Drosophila melanogaster: one gene and its partner. The protein of the gene in region 1 interacts with the protein of each later gene in a pairwise test. Each region holds a gene or a part of one and is shown in the gene's direction. Other genes may lie near its edges.

Region 1 (8,309 bases):
TGTATATTTGGCTACCACCTTGGTTTAAAGCATTCCGTCCTGAAATAGTTCAAGCATTAAGGATCAATAGTAAACGTTTGACTTCACCATACGATCTTCATCTTACACTGCAACACCTCTTGGAACTGGGAGAACGTTGGCCTCGAGCGGTGGACAAGCTGGTGGATTGCCCCACTTGTCAAACCCTTTTTGCTCCTGTTCCCGAAAATCGAACCTGTTCAGATGCTGGCATAGGAGAATCCCAATGTCCATGTGATAGCTACAAGCTGCTTAGCTCCAATCAGATGAAACAATTGTCTGTGGGAAAGCAAATTGTGCGCAGTATAAATGAATTCCTTAACCATCACAACTTGCATGAGTTGTGCCATAATCTTACACTGAAATCAGTCAAAATGGTGTTGCAACGAAAGGATAGAAAATTATCTAGTGGCAGCACCTATAGAGCATATTTCAGTGCCAACCCAAATAATGCAGAATTTTCCACAACTATCCGCTACGCTAATAATCGCCAAGAACTGGAATATATAAATGTGGAGTCCATAAACCGATTGAATAACTATCAAAATGACTCGAGTTGCATGCGAAGATTGCGAGGCAGAAAGTTTTGTATATGCAAGAGCCAAATACTAGAAAATCACAGCACTTCAGAGGTCACAAAATTAATACCGAATAAAAATAAAATAGATGATAAATTATATGAATTACCAGACATGCGAGAAAACGACCAAAACATTGAAACATTGAACATTGAAGTTATTTCGGTGTAACTAATGATAAATTTAGTTATCTAACTATATACTTTTGGGTTATAATCCAAGTGATTTGAACAATATAAGCTTAAAGCACTAGGTGCCATCCATATATCAACATTATTAAAACCAGGGTTATCTCAATTTTACCTTCTCAGGTAAACCTTGCTAAAAGCAATCACAGATAGTGACACAATCAGACCCATAAGTTACTGAGTTATCCATTTTACCATTATCCGGACAGCTCCCAGTCACTCTTGTTCTCGACTGGAATGGGACAATTTCATTGTTTAAAAATTTAATTGTTATCTACTTCAGCGTGCATACGTATGTACAAGCCAATGCACAATATTCACAATATGTTTCTACTTTGACTTATATACAATACATTGACCTATAAAATGAGAATAATTTCTTAAATCTACAACCAATGTAACACCTAGAAGCAAATAATGTCAAACCCATATTGAATTCAGCCTGCATTTACGTTGCAAAACTTTCCACCCTTACAATAAAATAATTGACAGTAGATAAGATTAACAGTGCTGTAAATCCCTAATTTATTTGATATCTAGAACTCTCAAGTCGCTTATACTAAGCGGGATGCGTCAAGAAATAATTTTATCTTTGTTTGCATGTAGGTGAAAAATGACAGGTGTCACACAACACTGAAGAACTTTGTCGTCGGACCCCGGAAAATAAATCTTATATCTTATATCTTTATACAATGCTATTAGCTATGCCATTAGTTTGCAAAGCGGAAATGAAAGCACTTATCTAATTCTTGGGACTGCGGAAGTTGTGTTGGGTCCCATATTATATATCCAATCAATATGTCGAATCGTCAGATAAATTGATACTTGTGCCCAGGTTGAAAGCCAGAACTTCTGCCTCATGATTGGCCGCTTATCATTTGAAAGGCTATGTTTTGTCTACTTATTAACATTGTTTACTAATTCATTATGATAATGGGCCGTCGGCGACTATCAGTATCAGTTCAGATGAGGACAGGCACTCCCGAGGCACAGTGGCGTAATTTAAAGTTTTCACTATTATATTTATATAAATTATATTGCAGTTTATTAGGACCTAAAATCAATAAACTATAAAGTATTTATAAAATTGTTTCTTTTTTTTAGATACCTTTTATTGAATTCGATTTTCGCAATGTTTTTTTTGATTTAATGAACCAGTGTGCGACGACTGTTTGCACTAAGCGTCATCGTTATCCCAAACAGTTGGCTCTGTCCCGATTTGGATTATATTCATTTCATTAGTTCGCTGCGATAATTCGCAGCCGTCGGTTCAGCTCTGTCTTCATTTTCACTCCTTTAAAGAAATTTAATTAAATATCCAGCATGTCCAACAAAAAGATGTTCAACAGGACTACGTCAGTAAGTCCTGGACAGTTGCATTATTATCACACGGATTTCTATTACTCAATGCCGGATTTGCATAGTAAGTATTGGGGGGAATTAGATGCAAGTTGTCCTTTTATAAGTTAAGGACATTTTGGAGCTACCATATATATGGTTAACTTATACGAAAATCTAAAAAAAAAAAAATGAAAGTGAAGCTTTAAAAAAATGTAAACTCCAAAAATGTATTTATTAAATAGGCTGAAGCCACCAAATATAAGTCATCAGAAGTTTTTATTTCTCCTATTTTTTTATTTTAAAATACATATATTAATTCCAATAATTTTTCCTTAAACTTAAATTAATTATATGTAACACATGTTTTATTTTTTTTTCAAATACTAAACAAATAAATGAAATTATTAAATAAATATAATAAATTCCTAATCCTCCCTACTTTATTTTTCTCAATTTAAGATTTATGTTCGTCACAATCATAAATTCCCGCCTTCAAGTTAGCCGAGTTGCAAACCTACTTTTTCAGCGCAGCCAACTTCACTTCACATGAGTTTCCCTAGTAGTATTTTTCTCGTTCTCTTAAGAGAGAGCAACCACTCAAACAAATCTTAATTATATTTCACTATAAGTCGTAACATTTCTTCTTAAAATAAGAAGAATAAAACCGATATTTAATTTGAATGAAAACCAGAATAACAAAATCATTCTAAACTCACAATTTTTAATAAACTTAGCAAATATATTTTTTATACGAAGTTGAATTTTTTACAGTGCACGCTTAAAACAAAGAGCACAGAGAGCGTCTACAGTTGTTTGGGGTTAAAATTTCCACTCAGTCAGTTTCCCGTCTCATTTCTTGGATTGCTTTGTAGTGAACTGAATCGTTTTGTTGGTTCCTCTGTCGTCCAGTCTTGTGAAAATTTCGTGATAATAATGCCTGGATAAATATTTAAGCATTTGGAAAACGGGGGAAAAAGGTCTAAGTTGTGTGAAGGAGACAATTGAAGTGACCCTTTATTTATAAACATTCCACGACGTGTTTCGAAAACAAACAAAGATATGCGGAAACAAAGTGTTAATAAAAGAGTGAAAAATAGAGAGAGTGTCGCGATAAGCGGTTGAGCGAGATAGAGAAAATTGTTGATTAAAATGTGTGTCAAAATAAAACATCAAACCGCTTGAACGAACAGTCAGTTAGTTGCTTCTGATAATAACCATGGGAAGCGGCACGTGTGCTTCGCTCCTCGGACTTATAAAATATTTAAACGTATGCATTCTTCTAATTTCGGATATATGCTCACCTGAGCGACTTTGTTAAACCGCAAATAGCAATGCAAACAAAGGAATAGAAACTGAAATCGACAACTACATGTGAAATTCACAAATCAAATCGCAATTGTCATCCCAAAGATATAGAACAAACTATAGGGAAGATACAGAATGTAAGTGCCAAACTAAAATAAACAAACAAGAATAACATTTCCACAGGTGTTTTGCATTTCAAATGCATATTTCCGTGGCGGCTACAAATCTTTTTCAAAACCGGAAAAAAACCGGCTACGGTTATTTCAAGGATTTTCGCACTACACTGAAGACAAATGGTTGTGCTAAGAAAGAAACACACTGTGAATAGAAATCTTGGTTAAAAATAAAACTACAAAAGAAGCAAGTTAAAACACTCGGTAAAACAAAATGTACATTGTTTAGTTAAATCATCTTGACACCTCAGCAAAACAATATATAAAGCATAATAAAATTCCAATAATTCACGACCTATGCCATTTTTTGAGGCCACATATGTGTGTCGTTGTCATGGGAAAGACCCGGGAAAACCTGACAAAGGAAAATTGAAACCGGCAATAGTATGCAGAAATAGAATGAATGAGTAACATTTAACTTAGTAATATGTCTTATTGCATTGGTTAATACAAGTCTGTTCATAGTATCGCTGATAACAATATTCTTTTGAAAGTAGGGCACCAAAAGTATATAAAATCATGGCACTAACACTCGTAATTTATTTATTGAGCTGTTATCAGTGAATGTAAAAAATTAGTTTTAAATAATTTCTGGCAACTGTTTGGTTACTAGAGAATAACATTATTTAAAATTGATTCAATATTTCTGTGTGCTATCTTAATGTAGCATTTAATGTTGTGTAATATATGATTTTCTTAGATTTGCAAATTAAGGTGGTATAGTTTTCGAATTTCGCAGGCTTTTTATTTGTTCTTTATTCTCTCCCAGAGTCTGTGAATAACAGCAAATCGTTGATAAGCTGTTTATGATACTGTTTTTATCTCGACGCACATTTCAGTCGGGTTAAAAAAGCACTCGACAAAAACGTGACAAAGAAGCACAACTCGTGTATGCCATAAATTCTATATTTATGTCACATAAGTATGGCATACATGAATTTATTTATTTATTTCTGATCACAACGCGTTGACGTCGATAAGACTAATATTAAGATCATTTTATAAGGGAAAAAACAGGGCTTATCTCTGTTGGCATCATTAGGCGGGCGGTAATTAGGTAAGGCCCTGATAAGGTACCAAAAACTATGCGTAATCATTTGAGATTGCTGAGTAATTAAAACTATTATACATAAGGTACTTGTCAGAACTAAGTTAACAGACGATGAAATATTAATAACTGTGGTAAACTGTGTTTTATTTAAAAATGCAAGTTATATATATTAGAATTATATAAATTATTTGTATTCTTAATCAGATCTACAAAAAAGGATACCAAAATAAGCAGATAATTTTTAAGATTTTTATTTTTACTTCAAAATAAATCTACGAATTTGCCACCCTAGAAAAAGAGACCGCTCCTGGTCTAAATTTTTGCTTGTTAACCACGATAAGCAAATCTTTTTCCGCAAAGCCCAGTAATTGAAGGGAATGATCCAGAGTCGCTGGTCGCTAAATATCGATCAAACATCGGCTGTCACTTGGTTGGCCATCGATCTGAGTCTGCCAATTGAATCTTGTGAATAGCTTAGTTATACACTCGGCCAATATCAACAATCGTGTTGGATTGTTGATACAATCTCGCCTCTCACAAATACTCCGTTGAACTTATAAGATCGCAAGGAGGGGGAGGCGTGAATACATGCCGCTTCCATTCGCTCAGACTAATTTGATAATCGCGCAATCAGACAGTGTACAACAAACCTGGCTGGCAATCAGACGTTGTCGCAGAAAAACTATTTCACAGTCACAGCGAATTTAAAGCCGTCAGGATGCAGCCGTTAACGGAATATCACTTTGAAGGTGCTCCGTCAGGCCATTAAACAAATTTTATATAAAAAGAAAAAACTTTTATCTCCAGATAGTAATCTATATCTGTTTTCCATTTCTATTTGCAGAAACCCGCAAAATGCACGGCGTGAAAAGGGTGCTGGTTTTCTGCCTGATGATTGTGATACTGCCGGCCATTCTTATCATTATGCCGCTGCATTTGCGAAAGACGGTGTTTGCCGACGTCATCTATCCCATGGCGGAGTCCGATATCATTGAGATTCGGGCAGGAATCTCGTCGATCTTTTGCTCGAAACACACACTGCGTATGAACTCCAATTTCAACGCTTTTCAACTACGTAATAAGCCGGAAATTGCGACGAATCGCAAGCACATTAGGCTGAAGAAGTCGATGACATTGCCGGATGATACGCTTGAATACTGGGGCTTCTTCTTGCTGAAAGGTGCCAAGGTGCGAGTGAAATTCTGCTCCCGCTACGATGGATCCCGCATCCTGATCATCCATGGTCACAGGGAGCTTAATCTTTGCGGTCTGACCGATCACAATAAGAATAAGTTGGGCGCCAATTATGCCAAAGGTCACGAACAGGTGCAGGTGTTCTTCGAAGACAATGTGGAGATCACGGAAGAGAAGGGCAACCAGGATGTGCTAATGGAGCACGAGAACCACGGCGGAGAGGATTTGACTGAGGATATTCCACAGCCGCAGGTGAACATACCTGTCAAGCAAAACAATTCTATACAGCCTAAGTTAATTAGGAAAAAACTGAAAAAGGGCACAATTCATCATGGCGAACATGATATGCATGCTATAACAGATTTGCAAGGATCACACCATACGGAACACATATTGAATCACCATGATCACAGCTCTAATTCTCCAGCACATCATCACAATAGTACTGCCCATCATCGGGAGCACAGTTCGAATATCACAAACGAAGAAACTAGTCGTAATCACATACGAAATGAAGATGAAGATCCAGATCAGAATTCAAGTAAGACCCATTATAGTGCGGAAAGTCCGCCTCACCGGGAACGTCTCAAAAGACACAATAGGGTAGCCCATAGGAATCAGAAGAGACAGGATCTTTACGATACGCTTTATAAAAGATCAAAGAGGGAGAATGTCTACGATAGAAAGACGATCCATGGAGGAAATGCTATAAATTTTACGGAAACGGACGAGTCGAATTCGGTGTCCAGCTTTGAGACAGGACTATTTCAGTGTTTCAATGGAATGATCCTGCTGCAGGAGTTCTTCAGGCCAAAAAATGAATGCTCAAATCCGCACATAATGGACACTTCGCCCAACAAGAGTTCCATGGTGGTGCACAACGTCATCGAGGATGGGTACTACTATTATATATTCTACAGCGACAATGATCACGTTCAAAACGAGATCCACGCCATATTCGATATTTACAAGCCGACGTATCAGTACTCAAACATGAGCGAGTCACAAAGCTGTCTGAATACCACAAATTGCACATTCAACATCAGTTTCCTTTCGGATGAGATTGTGGTGGTGGAGGTTCCAACACGGGATGGTATCGAGCACGAGGAGGACGATATAACCAATCTGATCTCCACCTGTCATCCGCGCAGCGAGATATACGCCATCTTTCCCATTACGGTGCTGGTGCTGATCCTTTGCTGCTCCTTCCTGTAGTCCTCCTGATCCAATATTATTAATATACTATTGTGATATTTATGGTGAGGTAACTACCGGGTGATATACTCGCTTGTGAGTGTGTTAACGTTATGGCCGGCCCCAAAACGAGAGCTTTTAAAATAGCCATAGAATATTCCATATCGGTTATACACACACGGAATGAACAGTCTGAACAAATCGTTATCAATATTCGTAGATTTTATGCTAGACTAGAATGTAGCCTAAGACGCAAGCATTTTTTGGTCTACAAATGAAAATGGGAAAATAGTAAGATAAAATATGTAAATTGTATATCGTGTACAAATAAATGTAGATACCAAGTAATTTTAAGATGAAATTGTAGTACTTATCAATTAATTCAATTATTCTCATTTTATAAACGACTTTGATCTTTTTGTTTACCTGAACACATTTTAAAGACAATTCTTATGTAGTCATTTGAAGAGGATTAGTTTTAATGCTTTTGTTGACTTTGTATAAGTGATTTGAATTTTAAGGAAATTTTCATTAGTTTTTTAATAAAAATAAAATTGATTGTAATCAAGCGTTGTAATTTTTCATTTTATACTCAATGTCTACATTTTAACGTTGCCGCAAAATATTTTCCACTGGCTTCAGTTTTAGGAGAGAAAAAAAATTTTGTTGATTCTAGTTATTTTAGATTAATTTGCACACCACTCAAAGCTAATTTGCCGATCATTTGTGTGAGTCTTTTCCTAATTTGGCCACGGGAGTAATGCAAATATTTACATAAAATTCATGTACACATACATGCCTGGAAGAAATGAAATAACATTTTCATTAAAAATGAATAAATTTACTGTCTAGTCTTTTAGTTCATACACTCAATTGAGCAGCGTAAACAAAGTGCCTTGGATTATCCGATTAACATAGTTGCATTAGATTAAGTTATAAAAGAAAATAATAAAATAGTAAAAACAGTATTCAGTAAAAAAAAAATTATTTTTAAAGAAGGGAAAAAAAATGAAAAAAAAACATCATTCAAATTTAGCAGATCGTTGGGAACGTCAGCAAATGAAAGCTGATTGCTACGAATCTAATGTTGATCTACACTGTATATACTTGTGGTTGTGTAGATAATGTGTAAGATTACAGTAAAAAAAATAAAGTCAGTCAGCGATTTTTATACCCGTTACTCGTAGCTTAAGAGGGTATTCTCGACTTGTTGAAAAGGGTGTAACGGATCTTGACACGCGGCATTTTTATTTCGAAACATCACGCC
Region 2 (4,586 bases), 4.7 Mb from region 1:
TACCTGCTGCTGTCGCCCGCTTCCTGGTGGCGAGACAGAACCAGAAACAGAGCAGAAAAACTAACTGAGATCTCGGAGAGGCCAACTAATTGCAGTATAAGAGCTTCCTAAAACCGCAGAAACTCGTTCTTCGGAGACCACAAACGAAAACAGATGACAGGAAAACAGAAACATACACGGTGTAAATAGGCTGTGCCTTGGCAGCAAATGCAATACATTTCGATTAGATGTGGTTTCACAAAATGTACATATATTTACTTAGATGGTTAACCATGGTTTTGTCGATAGAAAGACCAGCCTGGACCGTCGACGGATGATCATAGTCTACTTCAACTTCTTCTTGGGGCGCAGGTTGTTGGTGTGTCCGCACTTCTTCTTGCGGCAGTTGGTGGCACGAGGATGCAGACGGGCGTAGCACTTGCGGCAGATCATCTTGTCGCAGTTGTACTTCTGGGCCAGAATCCTGAGCGAGGGCTCAATGATACCACCACGCAGGCGGAGCACCAAGTGCAGGGTGGACTCCTTCTGAATGTTGTAGTCGGACAGAGTGCGGCCATCCTCCAGCTGCTTGCCGGCGAAGATCAGACGCTGCTGATCTGGGGGAATGCCCTCCTTATCCTGGATCTTAGCCTTGACATTCTCGATGGTGTCAGAAGGCTCCACCTCCAAGGTGATGGTCTTGCCGGTGAGGGTTTTCACGAAGATCTGCATAATGGCGGCGTCACTGAAAGCAATATAAAACATAAATCAGTACCAAATCGTACGATTTCTTAGCGAACTTGTGCGTCCCAAAGAGCGGGCAAAGATTGGAGGTTAGGTCCGACTTGCTGGCATGTTTCGTTCGACAGAAACAGCTCCACCGGTCGACAAGCACCAGTGTCCATCTTTTTCATATCACAAATACGTCACTAAACAACAATATGTTTACATTCTGCCACGTTATTGCGATTTTTCGTTTATTTTTAATATATTTAATGGAAACTCACCAGAGGAAACGTGCAACCAAATGCTATTCAAAAGAAAAAGGGAAAAGAGAGTGTGGCCGCCGCCGAGCACTGCAAATATACCAAAATACTATTTTTTAAATACCAAAACATTCTAAATGGAACTGTAAAAAATATTCAGACACTCAAATTAATTAATGCAAAATATCTTTACCATTTGAACCGAGACCAACTTTACAATATCAACATATAGTTTTTCGTGTTTTTTTATAGCCCAACGCTACCTCACTGATAGCTAAGCTAATTCAAAATTATATTATTATGGCATGAAAATGCTATTTGCATTGTATACAAATAAATTGAAATCAAAACTTGTATATAGAATTATATTTTAGATAAGGTTCAAATATTACATATTACGCATATTTTTTTTTATTGAAAAACCGCCTAATCGATTTAAATTATATTTTTAATGAATTTATGAAATATTTTTTCAGATATTAAACCTTTTGAATTTATACAAAAATATTCAAGTTGCTGTCCATTTTACTAAGAACAATAATTGAATACTAGGTTGTATAAGTATAAGTAAGTAAGTAAGTATAAGTAAGTAAGGGATATACATTTAAGCCAACGATATTCTAAAAATGTGTATTGCTAAATATGTCACATATAATAAATAAATTTGTATTTGACTTAGTGAAAAAAGTATGTCTTTATAGTGAGAACACCGTGCTTTTCCATTCTGCGTCAAATCGATAGATTCTGAAAAATACCCCTTTCGATATCGAAGTTCTAATGGCTCGATAGGTCCTCAACACTTACCTATCGATGACAGTAGCACAAGTTGTGCGGAAAACGGGAAACTAAGGGAAAAGCGTGGAAAACCCTTGAGAACAGAGCATGTCGAAAGCAGGCGAAGATCAGCCCGCAGCAGAGGGTGCGGTAAGTATCTGAGAAACTTAAACCTTTCTCAACCCCAATCACCTGACAATAGCGACCTGGTTCTCATCGTTTTTTCTAGGTGATTGCGGGCAATGGTAACGCTGAGCTGGCCCAAAATGAAGGCCAGAATGAGCAACAACAACCCCCGCCGAATCAGCCCACCCGCATGGAGTCCTTCTTTGCGATGACCAAGTCCCTCATCCTGCGTGCCCTGATCATCTACTTTGTGAGCTCCTTTTTCCGACGACCTGCGCCCGATGCCGCCAGTCAAGGCAAAAGTGTCGCTAATGCGGGTCCCAAGATCACGGCCTGGAATTACTTCGAGAACGGCACGGACTTTGACCTGCACGTGTGGTTGTCGGAGAATCCCGATGTGGTTAACTTCCAGCAAAAGGCGAATCTCCTCTGGCTACAGAAGGACCTCACCTATGGCGATTGGACGTCGGGCGTCAACGGAGATGGCATTTACACGCACAGTTTGAAGCTTAAGACCAGCCAGCATCTGATGAACAATGGCAGTGTGTACCTACATGCCTTTGTCACGCGTACCGGCATGAGTCCCGATCCCAAAGCCCCGAATTACGCCACCAAAATGGGCCACCAGCAACATCAGCTGAACAAGTTCAAGAAGTTGCGTGTGAACCGCAACTACAACTTGCTGGCCAGCGAGAAGGAGAAGTTGGAGCACGAGCTCAAGCATGCGAATCTCAAGGATACCATCGTGTCTCACTGGCATCCTAATCTCACGGTCAATCTCGTAGTGGACCAAACTAACTGGGCCGAGGGATCTGTGCCGCCGCCACTGGATGACTACGTAAAGTTCGTAGACGGCGGTAAGACCTATCTGCCCATCCTGTTCGTCAACGACTACTGGAATCTTCAGCGGGAGTATCAACCCATTAATGAGACCACTCCCGAACTGGAGCTGCACCTCACTTTCCAGCCGCTGGGCATGTTCAAGTGGCAGCTGTATGCCGCCAAACAGATGAAGAACAAGTGGGCTGGCAATATGCTCGGTGAGCTGATGGCCGCCAGCCAGCCGGAGGAGAGTGACGAGGATCAGGACTCGCTGAAGGAGACTCTGCTGGACACCAATATCTACCTGCTGGGCATCACAGTGGCCGTTTCCATACTGCATTCGGTGTTCGAACTGCTGGCCTTCAAGAACGACATTCAGTTCTGGAACAATCGCAAGTCGCTCGAAGGACTGTCTGTACGATCGGTGTTCTTCGGTGTCTTCCAGTCACTAATCATCCTGCTGTACGTGCTGGACAACGAGACCAACTTCATGATTCGCATCTCCTGTTTCGTGGGACTGGGAATCGAGGTGTGGAAGATTCACAAGGTCGTGGATATCAACTACGATCACGATCAAAAGATTCTGGGAGTGCTGCCGAGAATCAGTTTCCAGGACAAGGGCTCCTATTCGGAGAGCTCGACCAAAGACTATGACAAACTGGCCTTCAAGTACCTGGGCTGGGCATGCTTCCCGCTCCTGGTGGCCTACTTTGTCTACTCGTTGATCTACAACGAGCACAAGGGCTGGTACTCATTTGTGCTCAACATGCTGTACGGCTATCTGCTGACCTTTGGCTTCATCCTGATGACGCCGCAGCTATTCATCAACTACAAGCTAAAGTCGGTGGCCCACATGCCGTGGCGCATGATGACCTACAAGTTCCTCAACACCTTTATCGATGACATCTTTGCGTTTGTGATCAAAATGCCCACAATGTACCGGTTGGGTTGCTTCCGCGACGACATCATCTTCTTTGTGTTCCTCTACCAGCGCTGGCAGTATCGCGTCGATTTGAAGCGCGTGAATGAGTTCGGCTTCTCCGGGGAGATGGAGCAGCAGCATGCCGCCCAGAAGCTGGAGGGCAAGACAGCCAATGGAGCCATCGAAGGTCCCCAGGCTGCGCCAGCGATCAAAAAGACAGCTGCACAAAAGAAGCAGGATTAGAAGGAGTGCAGAGCTGTGACCACAGTATGCATTAGCATTAGAAGACGCAATACCATATACTCCACTCCCCCAATATGTATGTAATCACTATCCAGTATACATAGTCAAGTAATCCCGATAGAATCATTCTTAGGGCTAATTGTATGTACGTATGTTTGTGTTTTTGTTTTCCCCTGCCCTCCGCGCTTCTCGCAGCGTTGGAAGATCTAATAAATTAAGCGTGAGATGATCCATATGCCACTGCTATTATCTAATCTGCAGCCCGCTGAGTGGGCTAGACAAATGGGTAGATAAGCTTGCTTATCAGGGCGCTTGAAAATATGTACATATATACTGGCCAGATGGCCCAGATAATTATCACCTCATTTTGGAAAGATACAAGGTTTCTAAATCAATGGATAGTGGCAACTAAATTAACTTATATATCGGTTTATCAATCGATTTTTTAATTTATATTTTCTAAAGCAACTTGAGTCCCATTGATGGTTTTTTCTTGTCAAATGAACTTCACTCATAATTTTCTAAAATAATTAAATACAATTGAATTTAGGTACAGGTACGCAAAGCGGGTACATATAAGTTTTCACATTATACAGCACTACCCATTGGCAATTTACAGCACTGAAAATGGAGCGCGCCAAATTTGAACTGAACTCAAAAATAATTCGTTACAAACCTAATATTTAGAAAGCACTAAATCCAAGAAAAATCTTTTTTACATGAGGAATTTTTGA

Evidence for each region.
Region 2: the proteins of CG31886 (region 1) and CG3702 interact in a two-hybrid assay, tested with the Drosophila melanogaster proteins (one large-scale study listed by BioGRID).

Annotation. Positions count from the first base shown.
Region 1 is NT_033779.5:8,952,776-8,961,084, reverse strand, and holds CG31886 (uncharacterized protein), read left to right. Parts: upstream 1-2,033; 5' UTR 2,034-2,107; coding exon 2,108-2,207; intron 2,208-2,971; exon of another isoform or gene 2,972-3,567; intron 3,568-5,277; exon of another isoform or gene 5,278-5,372; coding exon of another isoform or gene 5,373-5,403; intron 5,404-5,498; coding exon 5,499-7,063; 3' UTR 7,064-7,604; downstream 7,605-8,309. Other genes in the region: CG9525 (uncharacterized protein), read left to right, coding at 1-767.
Region 2 is NT_033779.5:4,224,150-4,228,735, reverse strand, and holds CG3702 (uncharacterized protein), read left to right. Parts: upstream 1-1,638; 5' UTR 1,639-1,847; coding exon 1,848-1,889; intron 1,890-1,968; coding exon 1,969-3,852; 3' UTR 3,853-4,086; downstream 4,087-4,586. Other genes in the region: RpL40 (ribosomal protein L40), read right to left, coding at 325-711.